Linked DNA regions of Schizosaccharomyces pombe. The main gene of each other region encodes a partner of the protein of the gene in region 2 in a complex. Each region holds a gene or a part of one and is shown on either strand. Other genes may lie near its edges.

The links.
Region 1: dep1 (region 2) and laf1 share a complex: the UniProt entries of both Schizosaccharomyces pombe proteins name them as parts of the RPD3C(L) complex.

Annotation. Positions count from the first base shown.
Region 1 is NC_003424.3:5,250,020-5,254,006, reverse strand, and holds laf1 (clr6 L-associated factor 1 Laf1), read left to right. Parts: upstream 1-1,772; 5' UTR 1,773-1,972; coding exon 1,973-2,866; 3' UTR 2,867-3,487; downstream 3,488-3,987. Other genes in the region: RFC-like checkpoint protein Rad17, read right to left, coding at 1-234, 292-395, 439-649; vtc2 (polyphosphate synthetase), read right to left, coding at 3,840-3,987. UniProt on the Schizosaccharomyces pombe protein: Component of the RPD3C(L) histone deacetylase complex (HDAC) responsible for the deacetylation of lysine residues on the N-terminal part of the core histones (H2A, H2B, H3 and H4).
Region 2 is NC_003423.3:3,796,476-3,805,265, forward strand, and holds dep1 (Rpd3L histone deacetylase complex subunit, Sds3-like family protein Dep1), read right to left. Parts: upstream 4,675-8,790; 5' UTR 4,532-4,674; coding exon 3,056-4,531; 3' UTR 2,710-3,055; downstream 1-2,709. Other genes in the region: vps1301 (lipid transfer protein), read right to left, coding at 1-1,991, 2,043-2,155, 2,207-2,228; cqd1 (ABC1 kinase family protein ), read left to right, coding at 5,722-6,354, 6,410-7,855; mrx14 (mitochondrial 54S ribosomal protein bL34m), read right to left, coding at 8,100-8,426. UniProt on the Schizosaccharomyces pombe protein: Component of the RPD3C(L) histone deacetylase complex (HDAC) responsible for the deacetylation of lysine residues on the N-terminal part of the core histones (H2A, H2B, H3 and H4).

The DNA.
Region 1 (3,987 bases), on a different chromosome or scaffold from region 2:
ACGCTTTTGAATATTATTTGAATCCATAAGCTCTAACTCTGGATAAGTTTCGCATAAAGACATAAATCTACTAAACTTTTCCGTGAGCGAAAGTGTATCTGATTCTTGGTTTGAAGGCTCTTTTAGGTTCATAGGGTTTAGCCATTCTATGAGACTATAACCTAATTCTTTAGCCAAGACCTGAACTGCGGTACTCTTTCCACAACCAGAAGGACCACAGATCAAAAGTAACCTCTATGATTTTGTTAGCCAAGAAATATTTTTGAGAGAATTAGGGGAGATTTAACATACACTTTCTAAAGAATCCGTTAACATCCATTGCTTAATTGCACTTATTTTGCTTTTATGCACGGCAAGATCAGCCGCTTTTTGAGGAATGTATTTTTCAAACCAAACTATGCGCACCGTTAATTTTTGAACCTTTTTAAATTTTCTTACGTTGAAATCGATCTTCTTTTAAATTATTGAGATGAACAATTTTGTTTTCTTCATCAGAAAAGGCTTCAATATCTTCTTCATGAATATCGGTTATCGAAGCATTTTTGTCGCGTGAAGTTTTTGAAACTAGAGAAGGTTTTTCAATCTTTCTTATTTTCTTCTTTTTTAATGATCTCTTTGTAGATTCATGAAACGACAACTGTCGCCTCATGCCAGATATATGTTTTATTCAACAAAGAAATAGGAAGCTAAAGGTAGAGACTTTGTAAATCATTAGATAAAATATATATTAATAGTTCACAAAATTTTAACAGCACAAAAAAACGAGTGAATTGATTAATTTACTGCTGACAAGTAAATGTGTGAACTAGTGAAAATATACAAGTACTGTATATGGAAGAGAATAAGTGAGTAGGTTTCTTAAGTACTCTGAAACTGCTTCCTATAAAGAAGAGTAAAAAAGACATGTGTATAATTTATTTATAAATCATTTATTTGTACATTTCTCTTATTGTAAGATATATTGCGAAAGTATTTATTACAAATTTACTTTTTTTTCTCATACTGTAAACAATGATCATCAATAAAAAAGTTAGCTTTTTAATTAATGAACATCTGAACGATAAAGAATGAATAAATAAACAAGTAAAATAGTGATATATTTCAATTGAGAAATTACTCTAATGGACACAGAAATGTATTTCTCTTCATTTATAAAATCAAACAATTGGCATTTTCAATTATGTCGTATATGAGTGCATTAGGAACTAGCAGCTGGAAAGGCAAAGCTGTAAATATTAAGAATATAGTAATGAGTATATTTAACCTTGATTTGGATTGCGACATTACACTGGAAACCAAAGGAGGAATTGTTTCATTAGAAGCAGTCTAATAATCCAATGTTGCTGCATCAAAACTCCCTATTTTGTTGATAAACATAGTTAGCCGAGCTCTAACTCTTTAAGAACCGATATGAACTCCATTGGGAAATGAGCAAGAATAGAAATCAACCAACACTACAGAAAGTTCATACCCATACATCTAATGTGGTACTTTTAATCCCCTATCCATCAGTATTTCGCTTGGCTTAATTATATTTGATGGGATGTATTTCCTTTTTGGAATTGATTTTTCGCATAATACTGGAAACAGAAACCCTTGTGAGCAAAGAAAAACTTGGGAAACCCACTTGATTAATATGGCAAATAATTTTTTTCTTCAAAATGGCATTTATTTTCCATTTTGTATTTACCATTCAAGTAACATGTTTTTTTGACAACCTAACCCTACCTACCGGTTTCGACATGTGTTCCATCCATCCTTGGGATTTTACTAACACCAACAATCGTTTGGCATAAGGTGAAACTTGGAATTGCTGTTGGCTGTAAATTTCATCTAAAGTCGGTCGCTCTTTTGACTTTTGCATAAAAGAATTGTACATAAAAACAACAATTTGGAGTAATTTCAGAGTCTACTTGATTTAATTGAAAAGGTTATCGACAGCTTGCTCGACTTTATCAAGGAAAAAGGTAAGATGAAATCGAGTCAAACGCTTGTTTATTCGATCCCTAGAAATGTGGAGAAGGACACATGTGCGGCAGCCATTAAGGCATATCAGTACCTAATATCTCCGCCGCCTTCTCCCATTCCAAATGACAAAGTTGCAAGTACTGTTGATGTACCTAAGTGTTCTACAATACCTGAATCTCCAAAAGATTCTATTGTGGAACCAAAGCCGACAGCAACACCTGTTGCGCAACTGCATTCCAAGGTTTACGATCTGTACCGAGATTCACCTAAAATTTGGCTTCGCCGAGAAAGGCAATGGCTTCAGCGTCATTCTCCAGCATACAGGTTTTCGACTCCAGCTGCCAAACGTCCAAGAAGGCAACCCAGCTCGTTTCTGGATGTGCACGCTTCTAATACCCGTAAAAGAGGTTCTCCTGATACGCCGGACTCGGGACATTCAACTCCGCATTCAAAAGGAGATGTTCATCCTGGAATGCCTCAACATAATACGCGTTTCAAGCAGTCCAGTAGGGAGTTTTCCTCCAACACCCAGGCCATTGATGTCGCCAATACACCATATGAGCTATTGCCTGATTATTCTCCTGATATGTCTGTTTTGGATAAACGTTCTCATCCTCGCCCCCTTCGTAGCGAATGGAAGGGCCCTCCCCTTGATCTTTCCAATGATGAGAATAGACACCTTTTACATCCTGCTGAGCTACAGTTGGCTGCAACACTTCGATTGCCTTGTCTCGTTTATCTTGACAATAAGCGTAGAATCTTTGCTGAGTGGCACAATCGCCGTACTCAAGGCCTAAGCTTTAGGAAAACAGATGCTCAACGTGCTAGTCGTGTCGATGTGAACAAAGCTAGTCGTCTTTGGAAAGCTTTTCACGATGAAGGTTTCTTTGACGACTAATTCGCGAATCGTTCATAATCCTGCTGGCCTTTCAAAAAATAGATTTTTTCTCTCTTTTTCTCTTTTGGCGGGTTAGGGAAATAATCAAATTTAAAAATTTCGAAAAACCACGGATTTCATTTTCGTTGGATTATTTATTTTTTTCTAGGTGTTTTGAATTTTTTGTTTACAATCATTTGCATCTCGGTAAAACCTTTCTTTTTTTTTTTGGATATTTCGTCTTGAAGTCGGTGTCCATCGTTTTATCTGGCCAATAACCAGTAGTATATACCTCAAGTCCCTCTTTTCTTCCTTCGTTCACTTTTTGTTTTTTTATCCTCCCAAAGATGAAAAGCATCATGTAGTCAGCATTTGTATTAAAAAATTCATTAATACAGATGTGAAATAACTCTCTTTTAAAAACGTTCGTTTCTCCTATTTACAGTAGATATTGTTATTTTTATACCTAATAACCGATAACCATCAGTTCCCTAATCAGACGGATTTTAGGGGTTTTTAGTTATTTTACTCTACTCAATTAGATCCAATGCTTAGCGGATAATTAATAATTGATTATTTATTCTTTGCTATTAAATTAATTAAACCATAGAAATTATAATGGATGTCCGACGTTAATATCCCAGTATTAATATACCCCAGTGTTGTAATGTAATGAATATATGGTCAAATCCAGCTTTTCTTAATCCTTGCAAAAAAAGTAAATCGACACGTAAAAACTTGCAATACCCGTGCAAATTTTAGTAAAAACCGATAACATATATCCCCAAACCAATTAACCAATATAATAACCCAAGAGCCCTGCTCTAAATGAAGTTTTCAATCTTATTGCAATTTTCAACTTCACATTGCATCTAAATCAAGAATTTACTGAAATGTTATCTTCTAGCTTTCTAAAAATTTATTGCATTTAAATAGTAAATCCAACGTGTAATAAAAGTTGGAAAAATCCCATGTTGAATGATATCGAAACTTCTCAAGTAAACAATTTAACAAGCAAACGATCAGGTTCAATGAGATTTTGATAAACAGCATCCTTAAGTGCAAATGACATGTTGACAATAAGAGAAATAGCCAAAGCTGTTCCTACAATCAATGGGCCCCAATAATCAGTCATTGGCGCA
Region 2 (8,790 bases):
ATCGCATCATCAACTAATTGGGTATGTACCAACGCTCTACCCACGTCAAGGAACAGTGTAGGGCTTTTTAAATCCGTACATTCTTCTCGAACAACAATCAAGGGAGCTTGCAGGTCAATTGTCATATCGGAAGTCTTGTGCATTTCTAGGGCATAATCCAAACTAGCACGAGTTTGTCTAGCTAGGGTCATAACTTTTGCAGCTGCAGAATATCCCCATTCAGAAACGTGCTCGATTTTTGTTCTTGGAGGAACAAAAAAAGCTAGCAGACTTTCAATACAAACTCGATTGTAAATAATAACCAAAGTTCGCAAATGTACGATTAGAGTAGAACTCGCTTTATACACCGGTTTGGTGTCTAACAATAAAAAAAACAAATGTGTTCTGTAGGCTTCAGGGATTTTTTGCAAACTTTCACTTTCTTCAACAGAAGGCTTTGCAAAAATTACACGAGCAGGCTCAAGCTCGGGGTTCGTTATGCCATCAAACATATCCAAATCCTTAAGAGACACTTTCAATTTCAGTGATTGAGGCCTTATAAAACATTCTGTTGCAAAACTCTCAAACCTTTGCTTAATTAAAGGTATTACTCGTCCATTAATGTGAGATTGTATGACAAAACTTCCTTTAGCGATAGAGACTTCAACATTAGCCATACACATATCCGGATCTAAATTTACGGTATCAGGATATAATTGTCCGCTCCATTCTATTGCAGAAAAAAATTCTTTCTGTTCTTGATCAGTCAAGTCAGCGGCTGTTTTATCAGTACTTGCTAATGTATCTTCATCCTGGGACTGCGGCTTTCGTATATACCCAGAAAACCAATCGTACAATCCATGAGCTGCCGAAGTTTTTGGTTTTAAATAAATAGAATTCCTTTCCTCAATCAGAGATGTATGCACACGTGAACGGTACTTAATTAGATCGTAAGTAGAATTTCGTTTCTCTATCTTTTTTTGCAAATCAATTTCTTCCTTTGATATTTGCTCATTCAAATACCTCTTACGAATAATATGCATGTAAGCTATTCTGTCGTCCCTTCTCCTTTTAAAGTATTTCCAAGTCCAGTGATATCTGCTCTCATGAACAGAATCTTTAACAACTAAAATGGCATACTTAAACCACTCCAATGGTTTCTCTTTAGGAGTCGATTTAGGCCTATATTGAAGATAATATTGTTGCTTCATTACAACACGAAAGTAGTCAATAACACCAAGTAAACTGTAATACATATGATCACTTAGCGTAATTGATATTTCTTCAACAGATAATTTTCCCCTTAATTGCATTATCTGGTCTGTCGGATGTCGAAATAAGACAACATGGGCGGTTGCCCGTAGCGGCTTTAAAATGTAATTATAAGCAGGTGACTTTTCTGCACTAGGAATCAGGTTCTTTAAATAAGAGAATATGTCTTCTGTAGTAGTGCATTTAGAAATTTCACACTTACTTATCCAGTATATTGAGAAATAATCAACAGTAATAATTTTATGAATGCAAGAGGAAGGAATTGGATCGGTTGAAAGCAAATATTCGGTAAAACTAGCATCTGTAGAGGTTACTCTTAACGAATAAAGCGTCAATCCAAGAGAATAAGGTTTTTCAAGATCACTCAAATTATCTTCAAACCGCAAGTGAATTCTTTCGATGTATATTTGAATGTTATCAGTAAGTTTGGCAATAAGATACTCAATAAAAGATTGTTTTCTACTTATATTTGGATTTGATGAAGACTCTTCTAAAGTTTCTCGAAAATTTTTCCGTAAGATTTCAAAACTATCCAGCTGTTCCTGCTTTAAAGCTTGTTGAGATTGCTCCAACTCATCGCGTGTTAAAGAGTTTTTCGCTTGGGGATGAATTGACAAATATATGTCTTCAATATTGATCGTTAAAGATTTGTTCCGAAGATTCGACCATGGAATTTCCAGCGTAAACGTGCCAATTAAACCACTAGTGATTTCAATGGGAATTCCGAGTTTATCTAAGGCCTATAAAACAATTGTCAGTGAAACTGCAATCAATCGTTCATTTTTAGTTACCTCAGGTTTTATTCGTAAATTATGCAAACTAACATGGCCACCCCAAACGCCGATGTTTAGTTGTTTAGTATCCAAGTTGTCAACATACGAACCTAAAATTTTGTTCAAGAGGCCTAATTATTTTATTAATATCAATGTCTTTCAAAAAAAGGTATAATTCATACCGGCAACTAGGCCTTCTAACATGTTTGTTGGCTCTTTGACACTGAAATTAGGTAAAAGGCAGTTGGCATCCGACTTGGTGAAAGTTAGCAATGCAATTGCGAATAGAGGAATGTTTTGTTGAAAAAGAAAATCTTTTTATTCCATTTATACATTTAACAAAATTATTCAATATAAAAAGAAAACGATTATGAGAAGAGGAAACTTCATTTCCGTATAACGCACCTTTTTATCATCAAACGGATTGAGTCTAAGTGAAAGGAGTATTACTTTACTTATTTGAACAAACTAAATCTTTTTTTTTTATTAAATCAGTTAAATTAAAATCCTTCAAATGTACATAGGACTTGTTTACGGCGCTAAGTGCCACACCATTGAATGCGTCAACAAGTCAGCTTTATCGAACGATAAGTAGGATACTTTGCTTAACTAGTTTTGATTGCGAAGCACATGATTATTATCAAATTTAAACATACTTAATTGTTCATAAGCAAATTTATTATAAGGCAAAATGAGTAAGACGGATAGCTGTTACAAACTTAAAGAATCGCTGTAAAATTAATTCATTAGTTAAGTCAGAAACAAATACTGAATTAAAAATATTAACCGAATATGTAAATTCTAAAGAAAATGAAACAAACGAAGAGCGAATGTGTTATATTATCGCTTAGAAAAAAAAAAAAAAAAAAAGAAAATACATTAGAATAGATAACGAAAGGCAAGAGTTTTAACTAGGCTCTGAAAAAAAAAAAACACTCTTGACACCGTACCAAAAAGGAAATTGTGTGTCAAAATTGAAGTAAAACGTGAAGGAAATTAGGAATTATCGCGGGGAATGAGGATGCTTGAAATTAGTCTTGATTTTCACTGAGGCATCCCATTTCTAAAAGGTCGTTGCGGATGTCATCAAAAGAAGCTGTTTCGATAATAGGTGCTGTCGGAAACCCAGCAAAACTATTAAGCTCACACAAAACTGCAGCTTCATATTCAATTCGTTGCTTCTGTAACAAGGCACTTTGGCGATATGACATGGTTTTTTGAGTAATATATGTGGGATCGTGAACAGATTTTTGTTTGTTTAAAAGCTGAAAGCACTTCGTTGCAATTTTGGTTAGAAGCGCTTGTCGTATTCTTCTTTTATCAAACAGTAACTGATACTTCCTCTGTTTCGTTACATAGTCCATTACGTTTTTTATATTCCCAAGTTGTTTCATGAGGTTTTCAGTAGCTAAACGCACACGATCATCTCGCCGCTCTGTTATAAGATCAATGCAGGCATTAAAACGCTCATGGGTTTCGTTTTGTATCATTTCCTCATGCTCGTTCAGCTTTAACAGTTTCTTCCCATATAAACGGTTTCGTAAAAAAGTAAACTCCGTTTCTATATTTAGCAAAGCATCAAACGCTTCTTTCCGTTTTATAGCCTTTTCATCGTCAGCTTCATGAGCCTGTTCAGATGCGGAACGACGATCTGCAATCTCACGATCGGATTCCTCTTGGCTGGTCTCAAGAGCTACCCTTTTTATTTTGCTCTCACTGTTAGTAGACCATTTTCGAGAAACTGTTGCACGTTTACGCTTTCGACTTCCAACGCCACTTCGAGGACCACCTTTTCTGGGTGCTTCTAAAGTTCCACCTCTTTGTGGTATCTGGTGGTCAGAATCTTCGGTTCTTTCAATATTCGACTCTTCGTCTTCTTCCTCCTCATGCTCAGAAGACTCCTCAAGTTTCGAGTTGTGGTTAGTCTCTATGAGTCCATTGTTGTCATTGGTAGCTTTTTCTTCAGACTCAAAGTCAGATTCCTTCAATGAAGGACTAACAATGGTTATATTTGCTGTGTTTTCCATCTGAGGTTCCACAGAGTTGTTTACCAGTATGGTTCTGCCAATTGCACTTGAGTCACCTAAGTCCTCAGTGACTGATACCGAACCAACTAAAGATGTTTCTTTCTCTTCATCTTCATTTAAGACTACAGTTTCTGCCTCAGATACATTATCATGATCTGTTACCTCTAATTTAGGAAGTGACGCTAACTGATGAGTTGTGAGGGACGTGGAACTGTTCAGTTTGTTCACTGGCGAGTTTTTTTCAATGATTTCAGAATTTTGAGAAGGCAATTGAGGTGCGATAATATCCTCATTAGCATTGGTCTCTGGATTAGATAGAGCCGAATCAACAACCTGCTCACTTTCAGCGATCGAATTATTTATTCGTTTCTCTGAATCTTTATTTTTAGGAGAGCTTTTTAAGTTGTTCATTGGTAAATCAAAAGGCTCCTTAGGGAGTATTTCATGGGGAATTGATTCCGACTGCAAATTTTCGGTCATCCTGAATTAATTCTTCAACTTCGTTCAAAATACCCTCTCGTAATTTACAAATGTCAGAATCTAAAAAACAGTATCGTTGATTTTCGTGTGTTTTCATTCAATATGTATGTTTTCGAATGAATTGGTAGTGTTGGGGAGAGGATGACATTTGATAGCTGGGCATCAGTAATAATATTCATACTCAACTTTTACACATCCTGTAGGGACATCTCAAAATTTTGAGCCAAGAACTTAATAATTTGTTCTAAATTAGCACTTCCAATTTATACTTTTATCAAGAATGGGTTAGGTGAAATATTCTCAGTCAACTGTTACTCATCAATGAAACTTGGCGAATGAACCATCGTCGATCAAAGGCTTTTTATTAAATCAATCAAAGAGTCTCTATAGATAAACTCTATGCTAGTCTCTGAGTTAACGGCAATTGAAGTAATGATGGTAAAGCTTTTTAATTCAGTACAAACAATTCCATTTTAATTTCAATTTATACTTTATTTTATCAACTGCTAGCGATTTTACAATTATCTCTCTTTGGCAGCAGAATACTACCATGAACTGATTATTTAACTTATTTGAATATTACCGATTATAGGTGTATAAGGAAAAAAAATGTGATTCCTATAATCAGTCATTTTTTATATTTTAATAATCTTCCCTTCAATTAGAACTTTGAAATTTTGATAAATTACATTTTATTGGTAATAATGAATAAAAAAATGTTTCTTCACGTACTAGATGATCATATCCAGTTTATCATACTGTAAGTTCAATTCTATAGAATCCAAATAGGAACTGAGCATTAATTAGTCAATATTTTATTTATAAAATGAAAGAATTGATTATTATTACAGTCTTCATTTTGGCTAACAATTATTATTTTTCTTTCTCCCAGTCACAAGTAGACAGCGTCATTCGACGTTGACACCAATAGACACTAGTGACACGTAAATTTGAGCAATATTTTTGAACTGGTGCATTCTTTATTTTCAAGATATTAAAGGTTGACAGGGTTTCCTAAATTCTTTGAAACACCTCTTTTAGTAGCTGCTATACACATTTATTGAACAATTCCTATTTTCTTTATCAGGTTTGCCAGTGTTTTCAATCGAAAATACCCATTGTAATTAGTTTATTTATTTTTTTGATTCTTGATAAGGAAATGCTCTTCTGAAAGTCAATAATTGGTGAACATGATTAGTTTTTCTCACTGGAATTCTCACATACGTTCGGGACTTAGTCTAAGCATGATTCCTTCTGCAAACTCTCGTTTTGCTTTCATTATTCAAAGAAATTATATTCCTGTCGTTAACTCGCAGAACACAAGATGGAAAAGGTTATGCGGGACACAGTCAGTTTGGTCACCATACAAAAAAAAGCACGTACTGGTTAATCGATTGAAGCATATATCTTTATTCCCCAAACCTATATTTGCAAGAAAGTTTACAACCCGACAAAAAAGTGAAGACCAGAAGCAATGGAGGATACTAAGGATTACATTTCTTGTCCTCCCTTTTACGGTCGGAGGATTATGGATTTTATACAGAGTCAAAAATCGAAAGAATAATATTTTCTCCTTTGACGAACTTGAATTAGAAGAGAGAAGCAATCGACCTCGTTCTATTTTTGGAAAAATAAAACAATTTTTTAATATTCTCCTCAGGTCATTTAATTTATTTATTATTTTCTCTCCAATTATTATTACCTTACCGTTTATCGCTCTTATTTCTTTCCTGCATCTTCGATCTTTGTCGTCTTTAACCGTATCCATTTGGCTTCGTTTCCTCGTTACTCAATTAGAAAGAGCAGGAGCAACGTTTATCAAGGTACGTTTTGAATTTACGCTTATCATGTTACTAACATTATTTTTTTATTTTGCAGTTGGGACAATGGGCTGCTTCACGGACAGATTTGTTTCCTCCTGCTTTCTGTAAAACACTGTCCAAATTACATTCACATGTAACGCCCCACAGCCTTGCCTATACTCAATCAGTCATCTGCAAGACTTATAAAGTGGAATCTATCGAGGAAATTTTTGTTAATTTTAACCCAATACCTATAGGTGTTGGAGCAATTGCTCAAGTCTATACGGCTACCATCAAGAAAGCAGCTACGCAGCAAGATAATTCCTACTTTACAAGTATGCTACAATCTATAGGGTTTCGACAGAAAAATATCTCTGATGCGCCAGTGACTCAAGATGTAGCCATTAAAGTTTTGCACCCGAATGTTGAAAAATACATTTCTTTAGACTTACAAATCTTAGGTTTCTTCGCAAAATTAATTAATTTGGTACCTTCAATGAAGTGGCTTTCTCTGCCCGACGAAGTTAAGGTATTTGGGGCAATGTTAAACCAGCAATTGAATTTACATTATGAGGCGCTTCATCTCAACCAGTTCCGTCTTAACTTTAGAGGAAATAGATATGTTGAATTTCCAGCTCCCTATGATGATTACACGACTAATCAAATCCTACTAGAAGACTATATGCCGGGTATCCCATTAAGCGCGTTCCTCAAACATAAGTCAGGACCATTTAACAAGTTGTTAGCTAACACAGGAAATAATGCATTATTTCAAATGCTTATTGTTGACAACTTTACACATGCTGATCTTCATCCGGGTAATGTCCTTGTTAAATTTTACAAAGGAATCCCTAAAACAATCTTTAATCAAGATAATGAGATTAATGACTCAATTTATAAAATTCTAAGTACATGTTCGACGGAGGAATGGGATTCTGCTATGGAAGAATTAAACATCTTGGGCTATCGACCGACTTTAGTATTTTTGGATGCTGGATTAGTAACGAAACTTAGTACGCAGGATCAGAAAAATTTTTTGGATCTGTTTCAAGCCGTACTTACTTTCCATGGCTATGAGGCTGGACTGTTGATGGTTGAAAGGAGCAGGCAGACAGAACGCGTTATAAACAAAGACATATTTGCTCTTAAAATGGAACATTTGTTGAATGAAATTCAAAAGAGCACGCTTTCACTGAAATCACTTCAAATAGGAACTATATTACAAGAAGTAATGACTATGGCGAGAGAGCATCATGTTCGAATTGAAGCAAATTTCGCAAATACTGTGCTATCTATCCTTTTAGTTGAAGGCGCTGGACGCCAACTATATCCAGAAATGGATCTATTAAGTAATGCTACACCATATCTTCGTTCTGCTTCATCGAAATCCAATGTCTCACTCACAAACCCAATGGTTCAATTATGGATAGCTTTAGAAGCTAGACAATTTTTGCTTTTAAGCACCTCTAAAGAAACGGTAGAAAAGTGGGTTAAGTCCGATATGATCGCACCCAATATATAAAAAAATTACGGTTTATTTTATAAATGATGGAAAATTGTTCATGAAAAATATAGTCGCAGACATGGAAAATAAATTTTATAAACTCGTGTTTTAAAGAAGTTATTAAAGTTCAAAGTTCAACAAGTAAAATTAAACAAAGAACCAATGGAAAGAAAATGTATCACAAACTAGAAAGCATTACTTAAATGAAGAATTGATAGAGGTTACTAATGCAAATTAGAGCCCATTAAAAGATAATATGTACTCAATGGCTCAGATACATCCTCCCTTTTTGTCTTCGATCTCGTAAAACACGACGACCGTTAACAGAACGAATTCGAGATAAAAATCCGTGTTTTCTTTTACGCTTTCTATTTGAGGGTTGATACTCGTTTCCATACGTTTTCCAACGCACTTGCTGCATTTGACCGAAGATGTTCATAGTCGGTAAAGAACTGTATAAAGTAGCGGTATTAAAAGGGTTTCTTGTCGGAAACCCTCTCATAGTTCCTCCTCCAGCTAATATTGAAATATTCCTGGCTCCCTTCATGGCAGGATGCAACAAATTTCGAAATTGTTGCATAAACATCATAAAGCAATAGGAATGAAAGCAGGTGACTGGATTTCAAGAGAAAAAATTTCAAAAAATAATATAAAAATTATATATGAACGTAAATGTGCAAAATGAAGAGATTTGAGATGTGATGGAGTAGCTGGTTATTAGAAAGGTTGAAGTGAATCAGTGTAGCACCGTTTGACATTCGAAGTGTTAAATTTCAAATATTTGTGTTACAATAAATTAAAATCTTTGCTAAAATCCAATAACTACGTTTTAATAGTTTCATTCAATTCACTGGAATGTCGGTAATATAATAATAATACTATTATTATTAATAAATAGTTCATTAACCATTCTTTATACGCCCTTAAAGAAAGCAACCTGAACCCCTAAAATT